7 linked regions of the Ovis aries genome follow. The protein of the gene in region 3 binds, or shares a complex with, the protein of the main gene of each other region. Links are inferred from orthologs where the notes say so. Each region holds a gene or a part of one and is shown on either strand. Other genes may lie near its edges. The genes, in order: THOC7, ALYREF, THOC2, DDX39B, THOC1, THOC3 and THOC6.

Region 1 (3,573 bases), on a different chromosome or scaffold from region 3:
TCCAAATGTGGTTTACTTGAATTTATAAACTGTATTAGTTATAAATGTAAAGATGGGACTGTAGTTGTTAGCAATATAAGTTTAATTCAGACAACTATTTTTTGAATTTTGCTTAGTATCCTTTTTTAAAATGTTTTAAGATGGTTTTTATCATCACAATTCTGTTCTCAATTTTTTCATTCTATATAATTATTTATCTATGTGAAAAGCTAATTCAAATGATGAAAAAACTCTAAGTTAGAAATTTATCAAATATATAAAACCTTGCAGCAACTTTATTAGTACTTTTTTTAAAAAATAGAGAAAATTTCATGTAAGTATTTTGTCTTACTAAACACTTATTTGCTTTTAAAAGGGACCAAAGTATTAAGTCTGAATTTAACCCTCAATTCTTATCACTGCACCTTCTGCACATTTTAATAAACATAAAAGTAGCCTCTGAAGGGAAGGCTAGAAAAACCTACTCTGGACTCTGTTAATGAGTGAAAATATGAAAAACTGACAGCACTATATGTATGATCTAAAAAAAAAATCACAGTAGGACATTAGTATAGAAACGGCAGCAACATGAAATACCCCTCTTCCTGAGATCCTGAGTTGCACCATTTAATGAAACTTTTCACCAGCAGATTAATTCTCCGATCATCTCCAGCACCATCTCCATCGATTAGGAGACGCTTCCGTATGACTTCGTCTGGAGGACAGAATAATGTGAATTAAAATGACTTTCTGGTTCCTGTTCACTTTCAGGGACAAATGAGCAACACCACTACAGATTCATTTATTTAGAAGAAAACTACTGAAATGTAAATGTACTTGATGCCACTGAACTGTACATAAAATACTGTACTTAAAAGAATTAAAATGGTCAGTTTTACATTCAGTTCAGTTCAGTTGCTCAGTCGTGTCCGACTCTTTGTGACCCCGTGAATCGCAGCACGCCAGGCCTCCCTGTCCATCACCAACTCCCAGAGTTCACCCAGACTCACGTCCATCGAGTCAGTGATGCCATCCAGCCATCTCATCCTCTGTCGTCCCCTTCTCCTCCTGCCCCCAATCCCTCCCAGCATCAGAGTCTTTTCCAATGAGTCAACTCTTTCCATGAGGTGGCCAAAGTACTGGAGTTTCAGCTTTAGCATCATTCCTTCCAAAGAAATCCCAGGGCTGATCTCCTTCAGAATGGACTGGTTGGATCTCCTTGCAGTCCAAGGGACTCTCAAGAGTCTTCTCCAACACCATTTTACATTAGGTAGGTTTTAATATAATTTCCATGTATATATATGGAAAGTTATTAACTGTCTCATGTCAGGCACTGTTTTAGGGGCTGGGGTTATATCAGGGAAAAGCCTTGCCCTCACAGAACTGACATTTTATTGCCAGGCTGTAGAGTAAAAATAATTTTCAGGTACTACCAGAGAAATAAGTCAATAATTCTTGGAGAAACTTTGTGGGCAAAACCTGTTCAGACAGAAGAAAGCCTGAAGCATTCATGGCATTGAGTACTGTAAGATACTAGTAAAAGGAACAGAGAGAAAAGAAGATTGAAAGACATAGTGGGAGACTAGAAAAAGAGAATGAGAAGTGTCAGAGAAAAGAAATTTTTTGGGGGGTGTAATTTAGTAATTGTATCGGTAACGCTTCTTTCCACGTGAGGACTTTTTTTTTTTTTTTTTAATGTCTGTCTCCCTTTTGCTCCAAGGAAAAGAAAAACAGAAGAGATAATAGAAAAGCAATGCAGATAACAATGCTGAGTAACAATTAGGGCCGCAGTGGGCTTGCTTGGCAGCCGTGAGCTACTGTTCTTCCTGGACAAGATAATGCTGGATCATAATAATAAGAGATGTGCAAGTTGAAACCACAGTAAGATATCATTTTCATCTTTCAGACTGGTAAAGATCAAAAGACCTGATAATAAGCGATGGTAAGAGTGTTGAGAAATCACACTTACATACACGGATAGTATGTAAGTGGTGTGCTCTTTGCAAGGCAGCTGGACAATCAGATAATATTCCAAATGCATATAGCTTTTTGACCCCATTAGTCCAGTTCTAGGAAATCATCCTACAGATGCATGTGCACCCATGCTGCTGCTAAGTCGCTTCAGTCGTGCCCGACTCTGTGCGACCCCACAGATGGTAGCCCACCAGGCTCCACCGTCCCTGGGATTCTCCAGGTAAGAACACTGGAGTGGGTTGCCATTTCCCTCTCCAATATGTGCACCCATGCACAAAGATATATGTAAAAGGATTGTTCTTAAGAGTGCTGCTTGTAGTAGGAAGATGGCAAACCTAAACATTCACCAGGAAAAGACTGGCTAAATATAAAACAGTTGTTACGTGTAATAATATGCAGAGACTTCCCCGGCAGTCCAGTGGTTAAGATTCCATGCTACCATCGCAGGGGTCACGGGTTCGATTCCTGGTTGGGGAACTAAGATCCCACATGCCTCACAAGGGGGGCCAATAAAGAAACAGACATATATACATAAATAGATAATTGCTAAATCTCATGCTTTTAAAAAGAGGTAGTAAGATTCAGCCAAAAAAAACCAGTGTGGATGTATATATTAATATCATAAAAATCACCTTAGATATGTTAAGTAAAATGAAAATAACACAGGTGCAGAGAAGCACATATTTTACTACCATTTGTGTAAACAAGGAGCCATCTGTGTATGTATGTGCCCATCACACATGTGTTTAGGTATTCAGCAAATATCTTTGGAAGGATTCATAAGAAACTGGTGATAGTGGCTATTTGTGATAAGAGGTATTACAGAGGATGCAATTTAATTTTTATGGTTTTATAGAATTTTTGTTTTCAACCATATGCAGGCATTTAAAAAATCGTTTTTAAAGTGTGAATAATTCCTAGAGAACCTGCATGATGAATCAACAGCAAAATCTTGAAACAATAGTTCCTGTGTGTAGGCAGAAGTATTTTTGAGTGCAGGTGCAGTGGAGATAAACTTTGGAAGGCAGATGGCTCCAATTTTTTTTTTGCCCAGTTTTAAAATCTATTCTGTGACAACATCAGATAAACATGTTTAGAATTGGGTTTCCAGCTACGGATTCATCAAGTGTTTTAATTTTACACTGAAAGATATAAACTAATGGTTTCCTCTTTTAACCACCAATAATGTTATTTGAGGAGACTGAGACAAAACACAGTCCTGGCAGAGATTAAAATTCAGAAAATGGAATTGACTTTTTTATAAAGTCACAATCATGTTTTAACTTTGTTAAAAGTAAACCTTCAGTGGGTGAGCAGTCCAGTGGTCAATTGATGCTATTTAGTTTATTTTTGATCTTCCTACCTCTACTCTTTCAAGCCCCCAGGAAACCCCATCTTCCTCCCAGATAACTAGGAACACTCCTTTATGGAGGACAATGGATTTCAAATGTAAATGAATGCAGGAACCAGGGAGTAGGGAAATTGAGGATTGAGTACCTAAAGTGAGAGGTTATTACCAGATCTGGTTTTTCAAGGGATTTTTAAAGTTTGGTGACTAACTGAAAATGTTTCCAGGACATTTTGTGATCTTTTCAGCTGTATACTTAAGATCTGTGCACT
Region 2 (4,214 bases), on a different chromosome or scaffold from region 3:
CCCGCACTCAAGAGTTGTACTATGGTGGTTCTGAGAAGGCTTCACAGAAGTGAATCTTCCGGAAGGAGCTGAAGGAGGGGAGGGACGTAGCTTGCTGGATGGGGATTCACAAGAGGTTGGTCCAGATGTGGGGGGCAGCATGAGAGGTGGCAGTGTGGAAGAGAGACAAAGGGGCGAACACAAAGTGTCCTCAAGCAGAGGGGACCCTACTCTTGCAGGGATGGGGCCAGCCTCTGGCTCCGCAAACTAGCTACAGCGCTGCAGCCTTTCTGGGTCCAATCCCAAACGCACCATCCAAAGGAACGCCGTTGTACTGTTTCATAGCTTTTAGTGCATCTGCCTTCCGCTCAAAGTGCACGTCAGCTGTTCCTAAACTGCGGCCAGATCGGTCGTAGTGCACAGCCGCCTTCTTCAGAGTTCCAAATTCAGCAAAGAGCTCCTGAGAGTCAGAAAGAGCAGTTGTTAGCACAGCAATTTTTCTTCTGGTGGCCCAGGGACACTCCCTGGAAGTGTAAACTGCTTTGGGGTATTTCCCTGGGAGGAAGACATACACGTGGTGGGGCAGGGAAGTGGCGGTGGGACCTGGGGTATGGGATGGGACAGGTGGGACAGCAATTTCCCGGAGCAGCTGGGCCCGAGGGCTCCTGCCCACTTGGGAACCTGACATCTATACCACGATGCAGGTGAAGGATCACAAAGCCCACCAATGAAGGGCAAAGATTTAGTTGCTATCTTCTTCAACAAAGGAATATTTACAACACACCCAAGGACTGTGCCAAGAAGCAGCCAAGGCCAAGATCACAGAGCAAGGGGCTCTATCCACTTGTGGACCAGCTCCAAGGGCCCTCTGACTGGGAGCCCTGACCCAGCCCCTCCCCCAGGGCAGATTCTGGCTCACCTTTCCCTCTCCTCCTACTCAAGCCTGCCGCAAAGCCTGAAGTCAAGCGCTGCCATGGAAACTGCCCTGACCTCAGGCAGGCTGGGAGTTGGAGAGGGAACCCAGAGTGTGGGGCTACTCCGGCCGCAGGCACACAGCGGGAAGTGGAGTTCACCAAAAGCGGTTTCCAGTGGATGCCAGAAACCACCTTAAAAAAAGTGTTGAGACACTGTGAGTGCTCACTGGCCTTGCTCTGTCCTCCCAAGGCAAAGTAAATGGCTGGGCTCTGGGAAATTGAACCCAGGAAGGCCCAGTACCCTGCCCAGCCATCTCCTGGACTGACCCCCAAGATGTCATTACTTAACCATTTTAGGCAGCAAATTTAAAGGCCTTTAGGGTTCAACCGAAAAAAAAAAAGAAAGAAAGAAAAGGAAAAAAAGAAAAAGGGGAGGAAAGAGAGGCAAAAAAAAAGAGGCTTCAACCAAAGATGTTTGAGAATCATGTCACTAACAAAACCCAGGGGGTGAGGGTAAGTGAGAAGACAGGGGATGAAATTCCAAGTAAGACATGGGGCTTAAGGCAAATGGAGCCAGAGCGGCGCTGGCACCATCCTGCTCTGTGCTATGTCAGTTCTACAAAGGAAGTGCTTTCTCCTCCCAACAAACCATTAAAACAAGCAAAACGTAAAGAAAACAAGTAGCCTAGCTCTTCCAGGAACAGAATCGGAGCACAGTCAACCAAGCTTCTGCCAGAAGAGCTTGGGCAGAGTGCCTTCATCTACAAAACACGTTTTAGCAAGGAAGAACAGCAGCGCCCCAGACTAAGCTGGGGCCTTGTCTTCCAGCACAAACTGACACATTGGTCAGGCTTTCAACTCTAGCTCAACCTCTGCTCTGCATTCCTGGAGCCCATCACAGGGAACAGTGGCTGGCCTTTCGGTGCCTGGGAGAGCTTGTCGTCCCAAGGTGTGCGTGTGGGGGATTCTGGGCCAAGTCCCAAACGCCACAACCGATTCCGTGCGGAGTGACCCGCCCACCAAGAAACTCCAGTCCCTTACCTGAATATCAGCGTCGGACACTCCAAAATCCAGATTTGACACCAGCAGTTTCCCACCGGTCTCCACGCCGGCACCACCCCCAAAACCGCTATCGAAAAGGTCATGCTGCCATTTGTCAGGAAGTTGTTTCGGCTGAGGGAAAAGAAAACACAAGAACAGAAAAAGGTCTGTGAGTCTCACTCCAGGGCTCGCCCTCGCCCTCACGGCCACAGCAAGAGCCTCCCCCCATCTCGGCGGGGAGGCAGGCGCTGAGAGAGACCCGCAGCCTCCGCTTCACGCCCGCGTCAGGCCGTACCCGGCCGCCGCGGCCACACGTCCCGCAACTTCTCGGTTCCCTTCAACCAACTTCCCGCCACCGGGGCGGCCGCGCCAACGGCCCCTCAGCCCCCAGCGCCGTGAGGCCGGGCGCCCTGTTAAGACAAAGGCCGCCAGGGTCTCCGCCTTGGTGCCCGGCAGGCGAGCGACCTTCCCGCCCGCCGAACCGGCCGGCGCCCGCGCCCCCCGGCCCAGTCGGTCAGTCGGTCGGCCGCCCGGACGGCCCGCCGGTCGCCCGTGCGCCGCCCTGCCGGTTCGCTCCCTCGCCGCGGCCCGCCACCCGGTCTCCACACTCACCCTGCTGTAGGGCGCCGGCCGGTTCCTGCCGCCGCCGCCCGCCGCGCCGCGGGCGATGGCCGGCCGATTCCGAATGGGTCCGCCGCCTCGGTTCACTCGCGCGGCGGCCTGGGCTCCGCCGCCGCGGCCACCCTGGGAGCCGGCCCGGCCGCGGCCCCTGCCCCCGCCGCGGCCGCCTCGCTGGCTCCGGTTCAGCTTAATGATGTCGTCCAGAGACATATCCATTTTGTCGGCCATGGCGGGCGCGGAATCGGCCTCGGCTCGAGCCCGCGCGTCAGCACGTCGGCGCGTCACTTCCAGCGCCGCTCGCGGGTTTTCCGGTGCCGCGTCCTCAGAGCGACCGCGGATTGGCTGCGGGCCTTCGGCGTCTCAGGGGGCGAGGTCGCGCGTGCGCGCTGAACCAAGGAGCTCGGCGGGCGCCTCTGAGAAGTGCCGAGCCGCGGCCACAGGCGTTTATATACCTTCCCGCGCGGGGCCGGCACTGCCAACTGAAGGCGGGTGGTGCGGCGCGCGATTAGATCGGCGGGGGCGCGGCCGTTGGGGGCGTGGCCGAGCGTGGCGCCTCTCCCTCGCCCCTCCCCCACCGCACCGGGAACCCGCACCCTAGTCCAGCGGCGGGAGTGAGTGCGGCCCGCGCCAGGGTTGTTTCCGGGGTGACCTCGTAGGGAGCGGGCTTGGGTCTCCATCTCTCAGCCCCGTCAGCCCTTTCGGAAGTAGCGCACGGCGCGTTTCTGCGGTTGTTAAAGAAAGCCGACGAGCCCTTCTGCGGACGCCGAGGCAGAAGTGCGGTGTTGGCGAAGGACCAACACCGGTCCTCCCGGTCTTCCCGAGGACCCGGCCCCCGCCCCAGTCCCCTTGCAGACAGCCTCTTACTGCCTTTCGGCGGCCACTGTTGCCTACGCTCGACCCTCGGGGCGACGCCCCTTCTTTGGCTTCCAGGTGCCGTAGCTCTGCAGACTCAGCACAGCCGGGTGGTCTCTTCCCTCCTCGCAGGCTCCTCGCGCCATGAAGGTGAAGATCAAATGCTGGAACGGCGTGGCCACTTGGCTCTGGGTAGCCAACGACGAGAACTGCGGCATCTGCCGGATGGCCTTCAATGGCTGCTGCCCGGACTGTGAGTGTCCCCTGCCCGCTGTCTCTCGAGCTGTGCCTATCATCTGGCCTTGGCGTGTCCCCAGAAGTACTCGCAGAGCGTTTCTGGGGTTTGGTTTCCTCTTCCCAAGAAAAGTTGACAGAGAAAAGCCAGGCTATTTGGGCCCATATTTGTACAAAGATCCCGTCAAAAGTTTTGTAAGGAAAAGAGCACAGTTTCCTATCCTGATAAAAGTCACTATGAGACCCGTGGAACACAAAAATGTGTTAAGACATTGTATTTGAAAATTTCAAGTCAACAAAAAATTGTGACGTTACAAGGTTTCCCCCTCAATCCAGCACATAAATGATGAATAACACGTTTTCATATCTGGCTGTTTTTGCCCAGCTGTTTTAAGGTAAATGCTAAATATCTGCTGCATTGTCAGGCGGGTTCCTTATCACTGAGCCACCAGGGAAGCCGCAGCAAATGCTAAATGTGATGTCCTATATCAGTGCTGACTTTTACCAGCACTGTTGTCACTTTAGACAATATACTGCCTTACTGTTGCCGGTCATTCCTAGTCCTTGTTCAGG
Region 3 (3,573 bases):
TAAAACTGAGACTCTAAAGAATGGTTCTAAGTGGAAATTTTTCATAGACAGGAATTTTTAAAGATTAAACTAGGGGAAAAGGTTAAAAGCAAAGAACTTAGTTGTGTTCCAGAGACCAAATGAAAGAGAGGTAAGATGAATTTGGACAAAGACGTTAGCAAAAACAAGTAACAGGAAATACAGAGAACAAGCAAAAAGGATTTTGCAACTAAAAAGTATGAAACAGGAAAATAAGACTTTGGAAGGAATTTAATCTGGGTCACATTCATATACTGTATTTTCTTAACTCTAACATGATCATTTTAATGTTTCTGAAATCAGGGTGATACTTACAAATCAATGCCATTTCTCTATGCACTTTTCTCAAAAAAAAAACAGTTCTAGAAAGCAACAATGAATCTTACAATTAATGACATCTCTGAATCACGGAAATGTGACATGTGTAGCAGTTCTCCTTTCTGTATAATATAAATTAAAAAGGGAGCAAGGAGCAGCAGATTTGAAGTGGCCTAAAGGTAGAGATCAGTCCTGGGTGTTCATTGGAAGGACTGATGCTAAAGCTGAAACTCCAATACTTTGGCCACCGCGTGCAAAGAGTTGACTCACTGGAAAAGACCCTGACGCTGGGAGGGATTGGAGGCAGAAGGAGAAGGGGACGACAGAGGATGAGATGGCTGGATGGCATCACTGACTCGATGGACATGAGTTTGAGTAGACTCCGGGAGCTGGTGATGGACATGGAAGCCTAGCGTGCTGCTATTCATGGGGTTGTAAAGAGTCGGACACGACTGAGTGAGTGAACTGATACTGATACTGAAAGGTAAATGATGCCAATCAGAAGTGATGAGAACTCTAAATGAAAAGGAACAGCATAAAGACTTGACCAACCCTAGAAGGTATCCAACAGAAGACAGAACAGCTTAAAAAAAAGGAAAAGTCTACCAGTGCTTTCACAAACAGTCTACGCAAGAAGAGAGATATAGAAAACCACAGTGAAAGCTGTCAATGACAATGACTGGCCCATTCCTAATGAAGATAAAAGAGGTAGAGCTTTTTTTTTTTTTAATGAGGGGACCAGGTGACAGCAAGAAGTAAAAAGCAAAAAGCAAAACGCCAACTAAAAGGAAGGTTATGGTGAAGAATAAAAAAATATTAAGAGTTTATCATTCACCAGGGAAGACAGCTAGTTGTTAGGTAAAGGGATAGGTAGAATTTAAGAACAGGTAATGTTTCTTTTATAATCTTCCTAATTTAAAAAAATCTACTAAATTCTTAAGAGCTCTCTCACAACTCTCATCTTCCCTTCTATGCTAATACTTAGAAAACGAGCACAGACTAACAAAACAGAAAAAGCACATAATCTATCAGGAAGTTACCTACCTGGCAACCTCAAATCCCTGCTTTGTAGCCAAAATAAATAGGACAAAATCCATACTCTAAAGTTCACTGCTTTATATGGAACAGGCTCTCAGACATTTCTCACTCAAACTGTAAACAGCCTTGGTTATCTATCCAGTTTAATAAAAGATTAGAAGCAGCAAATAATATTAGGAGGAAGGTAGAGAATGTAAGTATACTTGATGTCATTAAGAAGTGACAGCTAAAACAGAAACAAGAAAATTGGCTATAAAAGATTCAAAAACTTCAATACTGCCATCTCAAACCATTAGCTGTAGAGGGCAAATCATCCTACATACCTCAATAATCCTAAGGCATCACCAAACAATAACTTTTCAAATGATGATCTGAGTGCTCAAAAAAGATCATATTAAGGGTTCTGAACACTCTGTCCACTTATAATTTAAGATGGATAAAACATTTTTTTTAATTCATATAAGGTATAACTACTTTGAAAACAAAATTGCCTATTTTAAATTCCAAAACTAAAAGCACAGACCATATTTTTGGCTTTGAAAAACATGGGCAGTGATAGAGAAGCAAGAAACTTTAAGACAAAAAAAATCTCTGAATAACATGTCGGCATGAAAGGCAAAAAGATGGGAGAACACTAGTAGGCAAGAAGATCTACGTTTATGTATTGGCCATGTCAGGTAATATCTCTGCCACCCCCTTCAACTTAACCTTATGAGTCTCAGTTTCTTCCCCTGTAAAAAGCAGATACCACCACCACCTATAAGGTACTTTAAAAATGGATTGATTATCCAGAGAAGATGGGAATGAGTGGTGAAGAGAAAGCCAGATGTTTTTAAACACATCTTGATGCTTTAAAAAAGAAAAAAAAAAAAGGCATGACTTAATCAGCAAGCTTAAAATGAAAATAGCTTAAAAATAACCATGAACCTTCTTTCACATCTTTACCCAAAGACCTGAGCATTATATTTAGGTGAAACACTACAGTTGTGTCTTGCAAAAACGGATCTAGTTTCTTCAACATTATCATACCTCATTTTGTATTTCTATCTTTAAATGAGAAAGAGGTAAGAGAAGACTCACCTTGATTGAAAGTCTTCATTATCTGTGCTTGTCCGAGGACTTATGAGTAGATGACAAATTAAGGGAAAACAACTTTTCGGGGGGTGGGGGGGGGGGGGCGGAAAAATCGTGTCTCATCTTTTAGTACAATCCCTCAGCCTGCAGGCCTGACTCTTACCAGCCTAGTAGTCTCAGACTCTACCAGCTCTGCTCAGCTGCAGCATCATCTTGCTCTGCTATTCCCCATGCCCCCAGCCCAAGGGACTCTGTTTCCTCTCCTCCTCTTGGTGATAGAGCCAGAGGGACTTTAAATCCCTTGGTGGCATAAAACCACCTCAGTTAATAAAGAAGTTTAAAAAAAACAATCAAGTCTCCCATTTCCATGTTTCATACATTTGAGAGGGTTAACTAGAGAGACCATTTAAAAGGTAGACCATTTTTAAAAGTCCTTAAGCAGTTAGACACATATTACAAGGGTACAATTCTAAATAACATCAGTATCAAAGTTTTCCATTATACTGATTAAAAAGATCTATAAGATGAAAAGGATATTGTTTCTTCTCTTCCTTTCCTCCTGAACTGTCCCGTTTCTCTTTCTTTTCTATCTTTTCTTTATCATGCCTGGACTCCTATAACGAATGGTAGAATTAGTTGAGGAAGGGAAAACCAAATATAAAAATCAGTTTAAAATCCCTTTTCATCAGCCACCAGCCATAAATTTTTCTTCAGACTTATTTAATATAACACCAAAAGCACAAGCAAAACAAAACTGGACTTCATCAAACATAAAAACTTGTATATATCAAAGAACACTATCAAGAAAGTGAAAAGACAACCTATAAGAGAAAATATTTGTATATATGTATCTCATAAGTGTCTAATATCAAGACTACATAAAGAATTCTTACAACTGAGTAACAAAAAGACAAACAATACAATTTTTTAAATGGCCAACACATCTAAATAGATTTTTTCAAAAGATATACAAATAGCCAACAAGTATATGAAAAGGTGTTCAACATCATTAGTCATTAAGAAAACACAAAATCAAAATGACAGTGAGATACTAATTCACACCCACTAAGTAAAAACAAATAAAACAGAAACAGAAAATAACAAGTGTTGGCAAGGATGTAAGGA
Region 4 (3,573 bases), on a different chromosome or scaffold from region 3:
TTTAAATTGCTGATACCGAGAAAGCCTTTATGAGAAAGGAAAGCAGAAAGTGTTGAGATTCTCTTCTCTCAATGGTCCCTTTTGCTCACAAGGACACAAAACATCTTGCCCATCTCTGACTCACCTCTCCTCCTGGGGCATCCCACGGTGGATAGCAATGGCTGGGAAGTTCTGCTCCACCAGGAGCTGGGCCAGGGCAATGCAACGCTGCACAGACTTCACAAATATCACCACCTGTGTGCGTGCGTGGTGTGTATGAGATTGGAGGGATGTGCGTCCATGTGGGTGTGTGTGAGAAAAATTACGAGCAGGAGTTCTCAGTAATTACACTCTTCTAAAAGAACTCCTTAGTCCCCATCACATAGTTCCTCTTCTGCTCTAAATACTAAGTCTTTCCCGCTTGGCTCTGACTTTTCCTGAGCAGACAAACATGCTGCAGAGGATATGGAAAACAGTAACCAAAACTACCAGATACATTAGGAGACAAGAATGAAGCCACCACATGAGAACGGTAAAAACCTGACGTAAGTCTGGAAAGACATGACCATTATTCCCACTCACCAAAACATCAAACATAGTAAGAGCTTATAGAAAATGATTTTTAGTGCAAACAAATCACACTAATGAAACACTTCTCCCTGGTGAGCAGTGCAAAACACAAATTTAAGAACCTGTCTAATTATTGTGGGACTCTCATTAACTTTAAGACTCAAGATTTTATAATTTGAGGTTTACTTTCTGTATCAGGCATGGAACAGAAAAGCAGTTCCCATTGCGCTCACGCTCAGCCCCTAAGTCTCTCATTTAAAAGACTTTTTCCACTATTCTCTTTCACATGGCATACGTGGCTTCCTCAATAAAAAGGTTTCTGCCAACAGTTGGAGATGTACTCATTCTCCCTACTGGACCCTGGACAACTAACCTGGTTGAATTCAAGGACATCCAGAAGGTCAAAGAGCTTCCGGTTCTTCTCGTTGTCCTTCAGTTTCACGTAGTACTGCTGCAATCCATGCAGCGTCAGCTTCGTCTCATCATCCACGAAGATCTCCATTGGCTGGGGGGGAGGGGGGAGGGAAGGGGTGGGGAACGGGAGGAGGGCAGAGTGGGGGGGTTAAACCTGGGGGGGTGGAGGAAGTTGATCTCCAATACACCCCATGGGGGGATGGGGAGAAGAGAGAAGATTGAAAACCCAGCCCCACCCCCAAAAATACCCACATTTTAATGTGGTCTTTTGGACATTAGATCTGATTTCCTTCCTATCAGTTGAGTTTTAAGATTTCCCAACTGAAAACTGTTATAGGAAAGGAACTCTGCAGGGAGGAAAGGGCAGAGTCCAACCACCAAATGGCAAGATGCCATTACCTCAAACGGAGGTGGTGGAGGAAAGAAAACAAAGGGAAGTGGTTCTCAAAGCGAGAACATGAAGCAAACACCTGGGAAATCATGGCAACAGTGACTCGAGGTCAGAATAACTCCATTAGAGCTGGTTTAATACAGGGCAGAGCTCCATTTGCATATTCTCTCAACTAGGAGAATCATATCTCCATAAGGTAGGTAGATGTCTTCCCATATCTCCATTAGGAAGGTGGAAGATCAGAATACTTCAATGGACTTAAGGTCAAAATGCCATGAAAAGAGGCAAAGATTGAGTAGCAACTTGCTCTCGGACCACAAGGAAACAGTTTGAGAGAGATTGGTCTCTGAACGAAAAATCAAACCATCTATAGTGTTACGAGGAAGGTACAATGAGTGGTGGTAAGAAGCAAATTCAGAGCAGCAGAGTTACTCAGTCATCTTTAAAAACAAAACAAACACACACAACCCTTGAAGGGAAGGTAGATAGCATTCACCAAAAAAAAAAAAAAAAGTGGTAATTGACACAAGAGTCAACTCTAAAGCCCAATTTCCCTTGTGTGCTGTGTTTAGTCACTCAGTCGTGTCCGACTCTTTGTGACACCATGGACTGAAGTCCACTAAGCTCCTCTGTCCATGAGGATTCTCCAGGCAAGAATACTGGAGTGGATAACTTTTCCCTTCTTCAGGGGATCTTCCCAACCCAGGTCTCCCGCATTGCAGGTGGATTCTTTACCATCTGAGCCACCAGGAAGCCATGGTTAACGTAAAACCCCAGGGTACAAGATTTGGGGAAAGGGTAAGTGTGTCATAAGTGAAAACCAGAAGCTGAACTTCAGAATGCAGACTAGCAAAGGAAGGATTTCCAAAGAGAAGTTCCATGGCTTCCTTCCAATCTAACTTGAACCCCAAATACAGCTAAAGGTAAGAGTTATGGTCCATGGGAAGGAGCACAGCAGGGAGGGAGGGAAAGAACACACTCCACTGCTTACACAAGGGCCCGCCTAGCCCAGACCCTACCACCACCTGGTTACACCCAAGTGGAGCGCTTCACTTTACTTTTTCCATATCCCTCTGAGTATTAAAAAAGTTAAAAAGAAGAAAAAATAAAAATCTACCACCCTACTCAGAACACCCCTCCCCACCAACACAAACGGAAAGAAACAGGGAGCACGGCACGCCTTGGGTTCAGGAAAAAAACCGGGAACAGAAAAAGAGGCTGGTTTGGTCCTCAGCTTCCTGGTCAGGTTCCCCGCGGCCTCCGCTGCCGCCATCCACCGCCGGGTGCGTCCGCATTCCCCCGCCGCGCCACGGTGCTTCTCTGCTGCTGGTTCACATCAACCGAGGTTCCGACGGGTGCGAGGAGGTACGGGTAGGAAGGAGCATGGACTCGGGGATTGAGGTGCCAAAGGCCCCCACCCCTGGAGGTGGGGAGGGAGCGGATTCGTGTGTGCTGTTTGCTCTTCTTTTGGACATGCCCTGCCATCTGTCTGTCCCTCTCTTGCTCTCCTGCCACCGGGAGGTTATGACTTTGGGGAGCAGAAGGCTCCGGCTGTATGCTTGACGCCACCTGGAGGGTGCGTGGCTGTAGGGGGTATGTAGAAGACGATGGGTGGGTGGTAGGGCAGAAAATCCTGCCCTCCCCCAAAAGGGAGAAGAGGTTCAAAAATGCTTTGATGAAAAAAAAAAGTCGAACACTACCCGCTCTCACGTTAACCCGACCAAGTCTTCCGGAGTTTCCCTGGCGCCGCGCAGACCCTAACACTAACTGTCTCTGCCTCTGTGTGTCTCTTCAAGGAGTCATCACTTTCAAATGGGCGCGTGCCCCCTTCTTGGCGCTTGAAGGACAAGGGAGTCTGGAGGAAGAGGGCGCGGAGGGGGAGAAGGCAGCGGGCGGGGAGTGGAGGGAGAGAAGGTAGAAGGGTATTTACGTCTTGCATGAACTTGCGGCAGACTGGACGAATCTCTTTGCTCAAGGTAGCACTGAACATCATGACCTGCTTCTCATGGGGGGTCATGCGAAAAATTTCCTGGACATCCCGACGCATGTCTACAGGAAGAAGAAAAAAAAATTATGGTAGAAAAGAGACATATTATCATAAATGAAGATCAGAGACAGGCTTATCAATGAGGTAAGGACTGCTGGAAATGGGTGAGCCGAGAGTTGCGGGTCAGGGTTAAGATTTGCCTCGGGTCTCTCTCTACTCTATTATCTCCAAC
Region 5 (3,038 bases), on a different chromosome or scaffold from region 3:
TGGTACACAGTATGGCAAGAAAGACTAGAGATCCTGTTCCAGAAATCGGTGAGCCACAGAGAATCCAGAGCACAGATCTGTTCCATTTAAAAGTTTCTGCAAGTGATCTGGATGCCCCCACGAGGTCAGTGGCTGTTGGACATACCGTGAACTGAAGGGGAACAGGGAAAGGAGGTGACAGACAGGTTCTAAGGGGATCTTTCCACTTCTGACAGAAAGCATTCTAAGTTGCTTGTTTGTCAAAATGGGAATGGTCGTTGAAATCAGGACATGGAGTAACGTGAAGCTGGAAGATAACCTCATCTAAGCGAAAAGTACTACTTGTATCAGTGGTCTTCCTTAGTGTTCTGGTATATATGCGGTGCTTAAGATAGAGGAAATCAGCTCATGAGAAACATTACTTACTTGTATTCACTTTCGACCATGTTTTCAGGGTCTGCCTGTTCAATGGCTTCTTCGAAGAATTCCTCCAAAGTTGGCATGTATTCCCTGGGTGTTAAAATAACCAGTGAAGATCATGTATGTGCTTAATACTCATAAAATGGAGGCAATAAAGATTCTAGTATTAACCACACTGATTTACAACTGGATTACTTAGGAACTCAGATTTTTAAGGAGGTGATGCAAAACTGAACTTCTCAAGGGGACAGTGGAGGGCAGTGTAGTGCCCCTGGCCCCGGTTATATACAGTCTAGCCTGGAGGGGAACACACAGCGCTGTGTGCTGCCATGTACAGCAGCGCTGCCGCAGAGGGCGGCCCGGGGCTTGAGAGCAGTTAAATTTGACCAGCAAGCAGGAGGTTTTCACATCCATGGGTAATTTTTTTAAAAACCAGAACCAAACTGAAATGAGACCCAGACAATATGGTTTCACACTGAGTTTAGTTTAGATTGTTACCGTGGTGGCATGATTGATTTTTAACTGCATCTTTCTTCAATTTGTCTTTAGAAGTAAAATTTGATACACGCAAGCAGGCTAAAAGGTCTCTCCAAAGAGACTTAAATTTTGTCATACTGAAATGACAACTGGCTGTGTTTTCTTTTTTAAAAAAGACATCAAATCTTTATCCAATTTTTAAAGGTTATTTTCCATCTACAGTTATTACAAAACATTAGCTATATTCTCTGTGTTGTACAAAATGGCTATAATTTCTTGTTGCTAGAAGAGTTACTTGTTTTTTTCAAATTGCCTGGTCCTTTTTGAGACTGTCATGTTCCTTTTAGTTGCTTATTCTACCTGTTGATTCTTAGTCATGGTTTTAGGTTTGGATGGTGCGCTTATCTTTAGACTTATCTGTAGAATCCCTGAGTGAATTAGGTAGAAGATGTGATCTCCCCCTCTCGCTAGAAAAAGCTTTCTGCCAGCCGCCTGGGAGTTTTTAGTTCACCCTCTTAGCTTAGGTTGTTCTTTCACACTGCTGCGGGCAGTATAAGTTTAAACTCTTAGAGGCCACATAACAGCAGATATGGTTATAATTCCTCAGGGAATACCTTTTTCTTTTTGCCCACATCTCAGGTGGGAGTGGATAAGCTCCTTGCTTCCTGTGCCAGTGAGCAAGTCCCTCTTCCTTCCGCATGGCCCTTTTTTTAACAGAGTGTGTTGAGGGCCTCAGCTTTACCCAGGGGCACTCAGTGACCAGTCTACAGGCTTGAAGCCATACTTTCTGTGCTCTGTTGCTATAAAACCCACGTTCTTTGGTTCCCAAAGTGGGACTCAACCTGCACTGCTCCCCAGCTACAAGTAACCAACCTGTAGTTCTTACTCCGATTTTTCATTCTCCCTTTTGTGAATTCTTCTTTCTTGTGATTTCTACAATTATTTTATCAGCACCTCTAGGTGTTCTACGGAAAGCTATATTATGCTGAGCAGAAGTCAACCACAATAAATTTTAAAATTTCTTTTGAGCTCTGCTTATAGCTGACAAAAAGTTCTATGCTAGTTAACATTTGAGAAAAGCAACACTTCATATGAAACATTTTAAACTTGCCTTGTCTCTGATTTACAGGCTTCCATGTTGTCAGGACAGAGATTCCAAAGCCTTGTTAACTCATCACTACAAAACACACACAAAAAAATATGTTGTTTATGGACACCATTCTCTTATATGTTAAAGCTATAAAAATAGTTGGAGTAAATAGTGAGTTTTGGGGCGGCGATGAGTTTTGATCATTACATTTTGGTATTTAGCAAATTTTCTATATGAGCATATATTTTATTAAGTAATAATGACTATTAACTTCTTTCTAAAATAATCGAATGCAGTATAAAGAGAAGAGTAGTTAACTGGAAGGTGGAAGAAATGAAAGGATTACAGCACCCTGCAACAGCCAGAAACGACGCATCAATCTGACAGCAAGTGGACTGTCTGACGTGGAAAATAAGGCAGAACCTATAGCCATGGACCTTGGAAGCCGGAGACAAAACGGAAGTTCTGTCTCGTATGAACCCTACAGGCTCATCAGGTGTAGTTTGCTTTGGTCATATATGTACATACCAAACACAAGAAACTTGGAAAAACACAAAACCTGGAGAGTTCTTAGAGCAATATTTTCACAATGTAAAAGCTTCTGTGATGACACCCCCGCTATGGAGCCAGGTTTACCTACTTGCCCATCAGAATTTTTTTGCTGGGCCCTTTCCCCAGGAAGTCCTCCGGCGCTGCTCTTTTCCGTACTGCTCTTGTGGGCTTGCTGTCTGACGTTCTGTGAAAACACACTGGGACTTCAGATGGATGGCAGAGATGGAACAATGTTAAACGTACAAGAAAATTTAGTTACTGTTTTCTTCCTAAAGTACATGGACGCTTCATATTATCACACTCATCATGAGGGGACAAACGACAAGATGTGGGTACACAGCAAGCATTTTCCCTTTGATAATAACAGAAGTAAATCAAAGCAGTTGTATTTTTATAGAGTACAGTTTATACTGTTACATGAACACACTGACACAGATCCGGATGTCATGTAAACTGATCGTGTCAAGCTATATTCTGAAATGCCTTTCTCATACTGCTTGAGCTGAGTATACATTTACCT
Region 6 (4,110 bases), on a different chromosome or scaffold from region 3:
TACATGGACTTGTGATTTGGTACCAAAGCCACCTTTGGAAGGCCTCACAAGAAATTTTACCGTATTTTTTTGTAAGGGGAATTTGGGTACATCAGAGAGAAGTAATCTCACTCTCCCACTTTATTCTCTCATTTTTTTCTACATTTATTATCAAATGCACGTGTTACCTTTTTAAAAAGTCTTGTATTTATGGAAATTTTCAGCCAATTTTTCACCACCGAAACACAGCCCCCAGCTCACTGGCCCTTCTCAAGCGACTTGTCTGGCGCTGGCAACTCACCACCTCTTTCTTCAGTAAGAAAATGCTGGACATGTGGTCTGAGGTATGGGCGTGAGGTGTGGGGACCAGTCCAAGGGGCATGAAAAGGCATTTACTCTTCACTCTGTGTATGTTATGTATTTTTGCATATATACGAATGCGCATCTAGAACAGCCTTCTAAACACAAGGAATTTGTCTCAAAATCATCCCAACAGCCTTCGGCAGCCTCCTTTCCCCGCAGCAAGTGAAAAAGAGAGTCACTCAGTAGTATCCGTATCCTTATAGCTTACGGAATTCTCCAGGCCAGAATAGTGGAGTAGGTAGCTGGTTCCTCCTCCAGGAGATCTTTCCAACCCAGGAATCAAACCCGGGTCTCCCGCATTAGCGGGTGGATTCTTTACCAGCTGAGCCACCAGGGAAATCCCAAACCTCTCACCTATTTTCCCAGAGAGGTTCACCGGCTCCTCCTGCAGTAGGAAGTAGAGAGCCTTCGGCTCTAAGTGAGTGGGCTGAAAGGTGGGAGTAACCCAGAAAAAAATGTGTTTTTAACTGACAGCGAACTGAGGTTTAGAATTGCGTTATTTCTTCGATTAAACAGGGATACAAATATATCTACCAAACAGTAGGTAAGGAGAAAGTTAAGGACCCTAAAAACCTCCTAGTGGCTAATGGAAGGGAAAGTCGCTCAGTCGTGTCCGACTTAGGCTACAGTCCATGGGATTTTCCAGGCAAGAGTACCCAGGGGTCGAACTCGGGTCTCCCGCCTTGTAGGCAGACACTTTATCCACTGAGCCACCAGGGAAGCCCCCTAATGATTAATAGTGAAGGAAATTTCAAGCGGAACCGCGACCACTGGAAAAGGTAAAGGCGGGAGCGCGCTGCATGCTGGGACTTGCAGTCTCTTCCGGGAGTGGTCCCCAGTGCGGGTGCGCGGAAGCGCGGGTGGTCTCTCCCGCGCATGCGTGCGGCGGCGGCGGCAGGGCTGATTGCCGCTAAGAATATTACTGAGCCGGTGTCCGGAATTCGTCATGGCGATTCCCCAGGCGTCCATGGGACCCTCAGCGCTGGGCCAGAGCGGTCCCGGCTCGATGGCTCCCTGGTGCTCAGTGTCAAGCGGCCCGACGCGCTACGTGCTCGGGATGCAGGAGCTGTTCCGCGGCCACAGTAAGACGCGCGAGTTCCCGGCGCACAGCGCCAAGGTGCACTCCGTGGCCTGGAGCTGCGACGGACGTCGCCTGGCCTCGGGGTCCTTCGACAAGACGGCCAGCGTCTTCTTGCTGGAGAAAGACCGGTTGGTGAGCCGCTGGGACCCGGCCCAGGCTAGGGAGAGAGGGGGTGTGGTGAGGCGAGGTTGAAGAATGGCGTGAGTGAGAGAGGGTGAGGAGGAGGGAGGAGGGAGAAGGGGTGTGGAGGTGAGGGGCGTGTGTGATGCGCGAAAGAGAAGTGTGGGGGGTGAGGCGGCGGGAACGGACTGATGAGAGGTGAGGATGGGGGTGATTGAGAGGAGGGCTGGTGGTTGGGGGCGGGGGACGGTGTACAGGGAGTGTGATAGTAAGGAGGCGTGAAGATGAGCGGGGGGTGAAGGGGAGTGTGGAGAATAAAGGCCGGTGGTGAGGATGGCGGGGAGACTTGTGTGGTGGTTTGGAGCGGCTGGGACAGTGGTGATGGGCTCCTGTGATGATGAGGAGAGTCCTTCTCAAAATGACAGGGCCTCTGTGGAATTGAGTAAGCGGGTTGGGACCCTTGGTGGAAGAGTACGGGTAGAAAACCACAAAGGAGGAAGGCCAGGGAGGGATAAAGAGAAAGGGCATTGGTGTGGACCCGGTCCTTAGAACTGTTCACACAGTGGGGAGGAAGGGAGGGTAGGGTGTTGGGAAGGGTTTAGGGGAAGTGATTTAGAAGGACTGGACTCTTTACTCATCCAAACTTATGTTGGTAGCCAGATACCTCGTTTTGAATAAGGTTAAGAAGTTACATGGGTAGGCGGGTACATATGGGTGAAGTGGTATCTGGATTTTGTTCTTTCAGGTCAAAGAAAACAATTATAGGGGACATGGGGATAGCGTGGACCAGCTCTGTTGGCATCCAAGTAACCCTGATCTCTTTGTCACTGCATCTGGAGACAAAACCATTCGCATCTGGGATGTGAGGACTACGAAATGCATTGCCACTGTGAACACTAAAGGTAACTGTTCAGAAGATGAGCTACTGATAGTCATTCATTTTAAATGTGCCTGGCCCTCTTGGTATGGGACATCCTGATCTGAATAAGACAGTCGCCAGCTCCAAGGACCTGAGAGTTTAGTGCAGGGAGAGACATATGTATTGAAAAAACTAACATAATATAACATGGTCATCCTGTAATGGATAGGTTTACAAGGTGGATACTGAGAATGGAAACACTTAAGTATGCCTGGGGAAGATAGGGAAGGCTTCACAGAATTTGAGCAAACCCTTAAGATAGCCATATAGATTTAGTGGTCACCTTGTAGTGGGTAGGCAGCTCTAGCAGGGAACAGCATGTACTAAGGGGTGGAGAATTTAGGAAACTGCTGATAGGGTAGAATGACTGATCTTGGAATAAATGACTTTGACAATTGGGGAGAAAAATGACCTGGAAGTTGTGTAGTACATTTATAGACTGTTCTTCCTCAGATATTGCCTTATAAACCTTGAGGCCATTTATTAAGTTATATTGGCTAAGATGTTATTGATTATAAGATGCATCAATATTTTATGTTTCATTAGAAAAGAAAATAAAGTTTTACTAGATAGTCATGATACACCAAAAATTTTGAAATACATCCTGATGCATTCTAAAATACATTACAGGTAATAAGGTATGAAAAACTATGCATCTTAGAATCAATAAAGTTGATGAAATTTGTGGGCTACTGGACTTTGTTGGCGAGACTTGTACCTGGAGGTGGAATGATATGGTTTCCCCAACTAGACAACTGGTGATATGTGAGTGAGTTAAGTATGTAGATGAACATTAAAAACTGATTGTATATATATTTTAATGCCTACTAGAAGAAAAGAACTAGCTTATAGTATTTATTGCCAAAGTGAAGCTATTTAAAAAATTTGGAGGGGTCAGTTTTAATAAAAGTCTTGAAGGAAGAAGTATAGCTATTAAATGGGTAGTTCAAAAATTGTGGAAATGGCATGTGAATGACTGGGGTTTGGGAAGTACAGGTATAAGAGAGAATCAGAGGCTCTGGTGTCAAGTACACATTTAGACCTTGGCTCTGTTACTTCATAGTTTTGATACTTTGGCCCATCTCTCTCTCAGTTTTTCGTCTGTAAAATGGGGAGGAAAAATGGCCCTTAGAGACATGTGAGCACTAAAGGGGGAAATGTGTAGATGAGTGTGCTGGACTTGTGGTTGGTCCTACTGATGAGGACCTTAGTGAATGAACTCTGGCGATAGCTCTAGTCTTTCTTTGATAACAAGATAAACTTCTGGAGGATTGTGGGCTAACAGTATCTTGCTGATCGTATCTGGGTTCCTAGGGGAGAACATTAATATCTGCTGGAGTCCTGACGGGCAGACCATCGCTGTAGGCAACAAGGATGATGTGGTGACGTTCATTGATGCCAAGACACACCGCTCCAAAGCAGAGGAGCAGTTCAAGTTTGAGGTCAATGAAATCTCCTGGAACAATGACAATAACATGTTCTTCCTGACAAATGGCAACGGTTGTATCAACATACTCAGGTGAGGGGGTTCTAAGTTTAAGGGACTGTCATGTCTTTGCACTGAGTGCTGTAGTGGATCCCGAGATGAATTAGATGTGAGTCTATCCTGAGGGAGCCAGAAGGACAAACAATTGACTGTTGAACAACA
Region 7 (4,258 bases), on a different chromosome or scaffold from region 3:
GACTGACCTGCCCCAACGCCCTGGCCTCCCAGGGTCCCCACCACCCCTGGCCGGACCCACCTTGCACTCAGGGGCTGCTGGTTGCTGGTTGAGGCTGAGGCTTAGCAGTCCCGGGGAGGAGCCAGGCACTTGGGCCTTGAGCTCCCCACTCAGCTGCCACTGGTTGACACAGCGGCCCTGTCCAGCTGATAGAATCTGTGGAAGACAGGGAGGGAGCTCAGAGTTCAGGCCTGGAGGGGGAGCGCGGCAGGGACAGCAGAAACAAGACAGAGGGCCTCACCAGGTCCTGGTAGAAGGTGACGTGCTTCTGTGGCGCCCGCATGGGGAAGACGGTGGTGGGTGTGGAGGATCGGAGGTGCCAGAGGGTGAGTGCTGGGCCTCCTCCGCAGACCTGGGCAGGAAGTTGGGGGTCCCAAGTTACCGTGAGCCATGGGCCCTCAGCCAGACAGGGCCCGAGCTGCCACCCCAGCCTGCACGCTGCCTGGCTCACCATCCAGTCCGAGTCAGTTGCCAAACATCCGATCCAGCGCCCATTGTGGGGCCTCGAGCACTCCTGGGAGGGGGGAGAACAGAGCGGAAGGTGAAGACACCGGGGATGCCCAGGAAGGAAGGAGGGAGGACAGAACGTGGGGTGTGCCCTCACCTCGTGCTTATAGACCTCGACTGTCTGGACCTCCTTGGCTGTGCGCAGGTCTGCAGAGGAAGAACCTCGAGAGGTATCCTCCTCGCCTCAGGCTCCCTCACCACCAGCCTTCCCTCCGATGTGACACTCCTTACCCCAAAGCCGCACGGCCCCATCCTCGCCGCCCGACAGCACCTCAGGGCTCCGCTCCCGCAGTGCCAAGCAGTGGATGTAGTCCGTGTGGCCCCGGAGGGCCCACTGCAGGGAGAGAGGTAGTGTCAGGACAAGACCCGGGAGGAATGCCGTTGCCCCTGCTCCCCTGGCCCTGCTCTCTCACCATGAAGGTCCCTGTCTCAAGGTCCATTGCATGCAGCTGACAGTCTCCCCCCGCCAGGATGAGCAAATTCTCCTGCAGAGGAAGGTGGGATGGAGTCAGAAGTCAGGGTCAAGTCAGGCCACGGAGAGGGGAAGGATCAAAATCTGGGCCAAAAACAGGACAGGGAAGAGCCCTGAATTTACGAAGGGCTCGAACCTTGGGCACGAGAAGCAGAGCATTGATCTCAGGTACTTCCAGGCTGGTCCTGGGGAAAGGAAAGCAGAGTCAACTCTGGTGAGGTGGCACCTTCACCCCCAGGTGCCCTCTGCTCACAGGGCCTGGCTCACCTGTATGGGGGCTGACGACGCCACAGCTCCTTACAGCCCTTCGTGGAGAGAAATGCTTGTTGTACAATCGCTGAATTGTGTTAGACTCTGTGACCCCATGCACTGGGTGGCCTCAAAGGCTCTCTGTGTCTGGGTACCTCACCCTTCCCCCAGCTCCACACTCACCTTCTTAAGGATCTCCGCCCAAAGCCAGGCCTTCACCTCCCCATCACCAGCACTCAGCAGATGTCGATCAGTGGAGACCATGCTGTAGACGGGCCCATCATGGGCTAAATGGAAGCACAGAACCTGAGTGACCTCGTCCTGCTCCTGTCATCCACCCTGGGGTCCCCCAAGCCAGACTCAACGTCTGCACCCACCATGGAAGGTCACCATGGGCTTCTTACTTTCCTCTTTGGCCTCGGAGCTCAAAGCAGCAGACAAGCTGAAGGGAAAGGGGAGAGGGGCCTGAGTGTCAGAAGAAGGGGGCATTAGCCCCCCAGAGGGCCAAGTGCCAGAGCTCATGGACAGTGGGGAGCAGGGGCAAGGGTACCTAAAGATAGCTATCTGTCCATAATTGTTGCCAGCAGCCAGGAACTTCCCACAGGGTGAGACGCTCTGGGAGAATATGGTCATGTGCAGCCGCTGCAGAGCCTGAAACACTTCCATCTGTGGAGAGAGGCTGGATAAAGGCAGGCTCGGGCATCCGGGACCTCTGACCCACACACTTCTTCCTGCTTCCCCTGCAGCAGTCGGGCCTCCCATCACCCAGTTCTCCTTTGAGACAGCCCACCAAGTGGGCCTTGCCCATTTAAGTCCCAGGGGCGGCTCCAGGGAGGTGAGGAAGAGGAGAGTTGAGGCATGATGCCCAGTGGAAATCTGAGCAAAGACTCAGCCTCTCCTCCCGGTTTCCTTAACTGTCTAATGGAGCTCATGGGAGATTTTGTCATGATTGGATGAGCTACTGTACATAGCGTCGCAGTTTCTGTCTTCGCTCAGAAACGGCTTAAAAAACTCTATTACTCCAATACAGAAAAACGTACTGACCCCTGATCCGCATCCTATGACTTTCACGTTAGGCCCCTGAGGTATTTCTGGGTTATCCTCCCTCCCCTGGGTCAGAATCCGATCCCACCAACAGCCCACGCAAAACAGTGCTCAGGGCACGACTCCCCGCCGCGCCCCTTCGGAGCCAGACGTGGACTACAAATCCCAGAAGGCACTGCGCATCGCCCCACCCTCACCTGACCCAGAGGCACCGCTTGCTGCGCCGCTCGCTCCATCTCGAAACTAAAAGTCCCAGAGTGCTCCGCGCGCAACGCAGCCTCACGAGTCCGGAAGTGCCAGTGGGCGCCTCCCTTTCGCGGTTCCTCACCTACCCTATACCGTTGGCCGGCCCAGCGTGAAGACGGCCACCGCGTAACCCGAGTTCCAGGAGCAGAGGTGACCACCGAGAAGACACCCCAACACCAAATGGCGCCCACCGCAACCCCGCTACGCCGGGTCCCCTCCCCCACCCCGCTGAGCGGACCCGCCTTCTAGCCGCGTGAGGTTCTTCTTCCGCGCCTGCGCGGAACCTGGCAGCGCACGCGCCTAAAGCCACGCCCCACGCACTGGGTCACGCCCTCAAAGGCTCCGCCCCTGCTGCCTGGATCCCACCCCTCTGCCCGCAGGACCCCGAACACCAATGATCCTGCAGCAACCCCTGGAGCGAGGCCCCCAGGGTCGGGCCCAGCGCGACCCGCGGGCCGCCTCGGGGGCTTCTGGAGGCCTGGACGCGAGGTGTGTGTGGGACCCTGGCTGGGCCCGGCCTAGGGTCCCAGGAGCTTTGGCTGGGGCCTCGAGCAGGTCTGCAGGATGAGACGCGGTGGGGCTTATCGGCAGAGCTTGGGCATAAGCTGAGACAAGGTTGGAGACCTCCGAGGCAGGCTCGTGGATGGTCTGGGCGAGAGGGTGACTTAGACGTCAGCGACAGGCATGGGCCGGGGGGCTGCTGGCTGACGCTGCAGGCTCACGCGGGCAGATCCTGGGGATGGCGCCAAGAGGGTGGGGTGCTCCTAGCTCTCTTTTCTTCCCAGCTCCCCTCTCCGAGGAGCTGTGCCCATGAGCACCAAGCGGCGCCTGGAGGAGGAGCAGTGAGTTTGGGGGCAGGGAGGGACTCCCGCCAAGTCCTCCGTCACCTCAGGTCCCCATCAGGCTACCTCTCCTCTGAATCCCAGCCTGCCTGCGCCCCCGTCTCTCTCCAGGGAGCCCCTGCGAAAGCAGTTCCTGTCCGAAGAGAACATGGCCACCCACTTCTCTCAACTCAGCCTGCACAATGACCACCCTTACTGCAGCCCCCCCAGGGCATTCCCCCCAGCTCTGCCCCCACTCAGGTAGGCACCATCCACAGTCCTCCGGCTGGGCCTTCCAGGGTATCATACCCAGTCCTCGGAGCCCATTTCCAGGCTCTGCCTCACTCTGCTATTTTTAGCTTCTCGCCAACCTCTGTTGTTTCCCTACTTGGCTCCTTGGAAGGTGCCAGCAGTCCAGGAGCCCCTGGGGACCTGGACCAGGTGGGGCGTGGCTCTGCCAGGCCAGCCTCTGCCCCTGTGTCCTGTTATTTCCTCTTCCAGAAGCCCTTGCTCTGAGCTGCTTCTCTGGCGCTACCCTGGGAATCTGATCCCTGAGGCTCTCCGGCTGCTGAGGCTGGGGGACACTCCCACCCCCCACTACCCTGCATCCCCAGCTGGGGACATGATGGAGCTCTGAGATCTGGGGAGGAGTGCCCCTGCCCCCCCCCCCACTTCCTTCTTCCCCTGAACAAGGGAGAGCAGCACTCACAGGAAGGGACCAGCTGCCCTGCTTTTCCTCCAGACCAGGCCTCTGGGCACCAGGACCTCCCCTCAACAGAGGACACAGAGCCCTGAGGTGAAAGGGGCAGGAACATGGGAAAGGAGGCCATCCCCTCCCCGCCGAGAACTGAATAAAGATTGCTGAGTGAATGAAAGCTTC

What was found.
Region 1: THOC2 (region 3) and THOC7 share a complex: the UniProt entries of both Homo sapiens proteins name them as parts of the transcription/export (TREX) complex. The link is inferred for Ovis aries from reciprocal best matches to the Homo sapiens genes THOC2 and THOC7.
Region 2: THOC2 (region 3) and ALYREF share a complex: the UniProt entries of both Homo sapiens proteins name them as parts of the transcription/export (TREX) complex. The link is inferred for Ovis aries from reciprocal best matches to the Homo sapiens genes THOC2 and ALYREF.
Region 4: the proteins of THOC2 (region 3) and DDX39B are in contact, whole or in part, in a cryo-EM structure (PDB 7APK), measured with the Homo sapiens proteins. The link is inferred for Ovis aries from reciprocal best matches to the Homo sapiens genes THOC2 and DDX39B. Residues at the interface, in NP_001075019.1 of Homo sapiens: Lys550, Tyr551, Met553, Lys554, Arg555, Leu556, Thr557, Lys558, Glu559, Tyr582, Gln586, Lys589, Tyr590, Asp591, Asn592, Leu593, Pro596; in NP_004631.1 of Homo sapiens: Leu282, Asp283, Val284, Leu285, Glu286, Phe287, Asn288, Gln310, Asn311, Phe312, Pro313, Asp335, Phe336, Gln337, Arg338, Arg339, Arg355, Ile420, Ile424, Glu425.
Region 5: the proteins of THOC2 (region 3) and THOC1 are in contact, whole or in part, in a cryo-EM structure (PDB 7ZNL), measured with the Homo sapiens proteins. The link is inferred for Ovis aries from reciprocal best matches to the Homo sapiens genes THOC2 and THOC1. Residues at the interface, in NP_001075019.1 of Homo sapiens: Leu155, Phe156, Tyr157, Lys158, Gln160, Asn163, Leu164, Leu165, Arg166, Asn169, Glu170, Ala173, Lys174, Ile176, Ala177, Gly180, Gln181, Asn195, Lys197, Ser198, Leu199, Ile200, Gly201, Cys202, Phe203, Asn204, Leu205, Pro207, Asn208, Arg209; in NP_005122.2 of Homo sapiens: Asn134, Arg138, Asn141, Leu144, Arg145, Lys149, Thr153, Cys156, Gly157, Gln160, Leu161, Ala164, Arg165, Phe167, Gln242, Phe245, Arg246, Tyr297, Ala299, Lys300, Phe301, Arg319, His320, Leu323, Gln324, Ile327, Tyr331, Arg373, Phe374, Lys376.
Region 6: the proteins of THOC2 (region 3) and THOC3 are in contact, whole or in part, in a cryo-EM structure (PDB 7ZNL), measured with the Homo sapiens proteins. The link is inferred for Ovis aries from reciprocal best matches to the Homo sapiens genes THOC2 and THOC3. Residues at the interface, in NP_001075019.1 of Homo sapiens: Tyr395, Arg396, Pro401, Lys402, Gly403, Ala404, Lys405, Gly406, Ser407, Pro446, Ile447, Ala450, Arg454, Cys500, Asn501, Ala502, Cys503, Met504, Glu506, Pro563, Arg566, Gln567, Lys570, His573, Tyr603, Leu604, Thr605; in NP_115737.1 of Homo sapiens: Asp193, Met196, Ile208, Val217, Gln218, Asn221, Ala222, Pro224, Ser225, Ala244, Asp245, Ala246, Leu247, Ser249, Trp251, Asp252, Asp254, Glu255, Leu256, Val257, Cys258, Val259, Cys261, Ser263, Leu265, Asp266, Pro268.
Region 7: THOC2 (region 3) and THOC6 share a complex: the UniProt entries of both Homo sapiens proteins name them as parts of the transcription/export (TREX) complex. The link is inferred for Ovis aries from reciprocal best matches to the Homo sapiens genes THOC2 and THOC6.

The regions. Positions count from the first base shown.
Region 1 is NC_056072.1:37,741,555-37,745,127, reverse strand, and holds part of THOC7 (THO complex subunit 7 homolog), read right to left. Parts: exon of another isoform or gene 990-3,573; intron 884-989; exon of another isoform or gene 695-883; coding exon 577-694; exon of another isoform or gene 1-576. UniProt on the Homo sapiens protein: Component of the THO subcomplex of the TREX complex which is thought to couple mRNA transcription, processing and nuclear export, and which specifically associates with spliced mRNA and not with unspliced pre-mRNA.
Region 2 is NC_056064.1:50,497,981-50,502,194, reverse strand, and holds the start of ALYREF (THO complex subunit 4), read right to left. Parts: upstream 2,816-4,214; 5' UTR 2,784-2,815; coding exon 2,547-2,783; intron 2,067-2,546; coding exon 1,935-2,066; intron 440-1,934; coding exon 292-439; intron 1-291. Other genes in the region: ANAPC11 (anaphase-promoting complex subunit 11), read left to right, coding at 3,552-3,660. UniProt on the Homo sapiens protein: Functions as an mRNA export adapter; component of the transcription/export (TREX) complex which is thought to couple mRNA transcription, processing and nuclear export, and specifically associates with spliced mRNA and not with unspliced pre-mRNA.
Region 3 is NC_056080.1:107,630,513-107,634,085, forward strand, and holds part of THOC2 (THO complex subunit 2), read right to left. Parts: intron 3,063-3,573; coding exon 2,934-3,062; 3' UTR 2,501-2,933; coding exon of another isoform or gene 2,473-2,500; 3' UTR 1-2,472. UniProt on the Homo sapiens protein: Component of the THO subcomplex of the TREX complex which is thought to couple mRNA transcription, processing and nuclear export, and which specifically associates with spliced mRNA and not with unspliced pre-mRNA.
Region 4 is NC_056073.1:26,836,341-26,839,913, reverse strand, and holds part of DDX39B (spliceosome RNA helicase DDX39B), read right to left. Parts: intron 3,404-3,573; coding exon 3,285-3,403; intron 1,055-3,284; coding exon 923-1,054; intron 235-922; coding exon 125-234; intron 26-124; coding exon 1-25. UniProt on the Homo sapiens protein: Involved in nuclear export of spliced and unspliced mRNA. Component of the TREX complex which is thought to couple mRNA transcription, processing and nuclear export, and specifically associates with spliced mRNA and not with unspliced pre-mRNA.
Region 5 is NC_056076.1:35,630,392-35,633,429, forward strand, and holds part of THOC1 (THO complex subunit 1), read right to left. Parts: coding exon 3,037-3,038; intron 2,703-3,036; coding exon 2,607-2,702; intron 2,054-2,606; coding exon 1,988-2,053; intron 490-1,987; coding exon 406-489; intron 1-405. UniProt on the Homo sapiens protein: Component of the THO subcomplex of the TREX complex which is thought to couple mRNA transcription, processing and nuclear export, and which specifically associates with spliced mRNA and not with unspliced pre-mRNA.
Region 6 is NC_056060.1:5,174,688-5,178,797, forward strand, and holds the start of THOC3 (THO complex subunit 3), read left to right. Parts: upstream 1-1,244; 5' UTR 1,245-1,288; coding exon 1,289-1,555; intron 1,556-2,288; coding exon 2,289-2,445; intron 2,446-3,776; coding exon 3,777-3,981; intron 3,982-4,110. UniProt on the Homo sapiens protein: Component of the THO subcomplex of the TREX complex which is thought to couple mRNA transcription, processing and nuclear export, and which specifically associates with spliced mRNA and not with unspliced pre-mRNA.
Region 7 is NC_056077.1:2,938,488-2,942,745, reverse strand, and holds the start of THOC6 (THO complex subunit 6 homolog), read right to left. Parts: upstream 2,844-4,258; 5' UTR 2,548-2,843; coding exon 2,509-2,547; exon of another isoform or gene 2,312-2,508; intron 1,934-2,311; coding exon 1,818-1,933; intron 1,710-1,817; coding exon 1,645-1,709; intron 1,555-1,644; coding exon 1,451-1,554; intron 1,324-1,450; coding exon 1,286-1,323; intron 1,204-1,285; coding exon 1,155-1,203; intron 1,032-1,154; coding exon 960-1,031; intron 881-959; coding exon 778-880; intron 694-777; coding exon 644-693; intron 554-643; coding exon 491-553; intron 392-490; coding exon 281-391; intron 196-280; coding exon 61-195; intron 1-60. Other genes in the region: HCFC1R1 (host cell factor C1 regulator 1), read left to right, coding at 2,952-3,112, 3,343-3,399, 3,484-3,639, 3,880-4,015. UniProt on the Homo sapiens protein: Component of the THO subcomplex of the TREX complex which is thought to couple mRNA transcription, processing and nuclear export, and which specifically associates with spliced mRNA and not with unspliced pre-mRNA.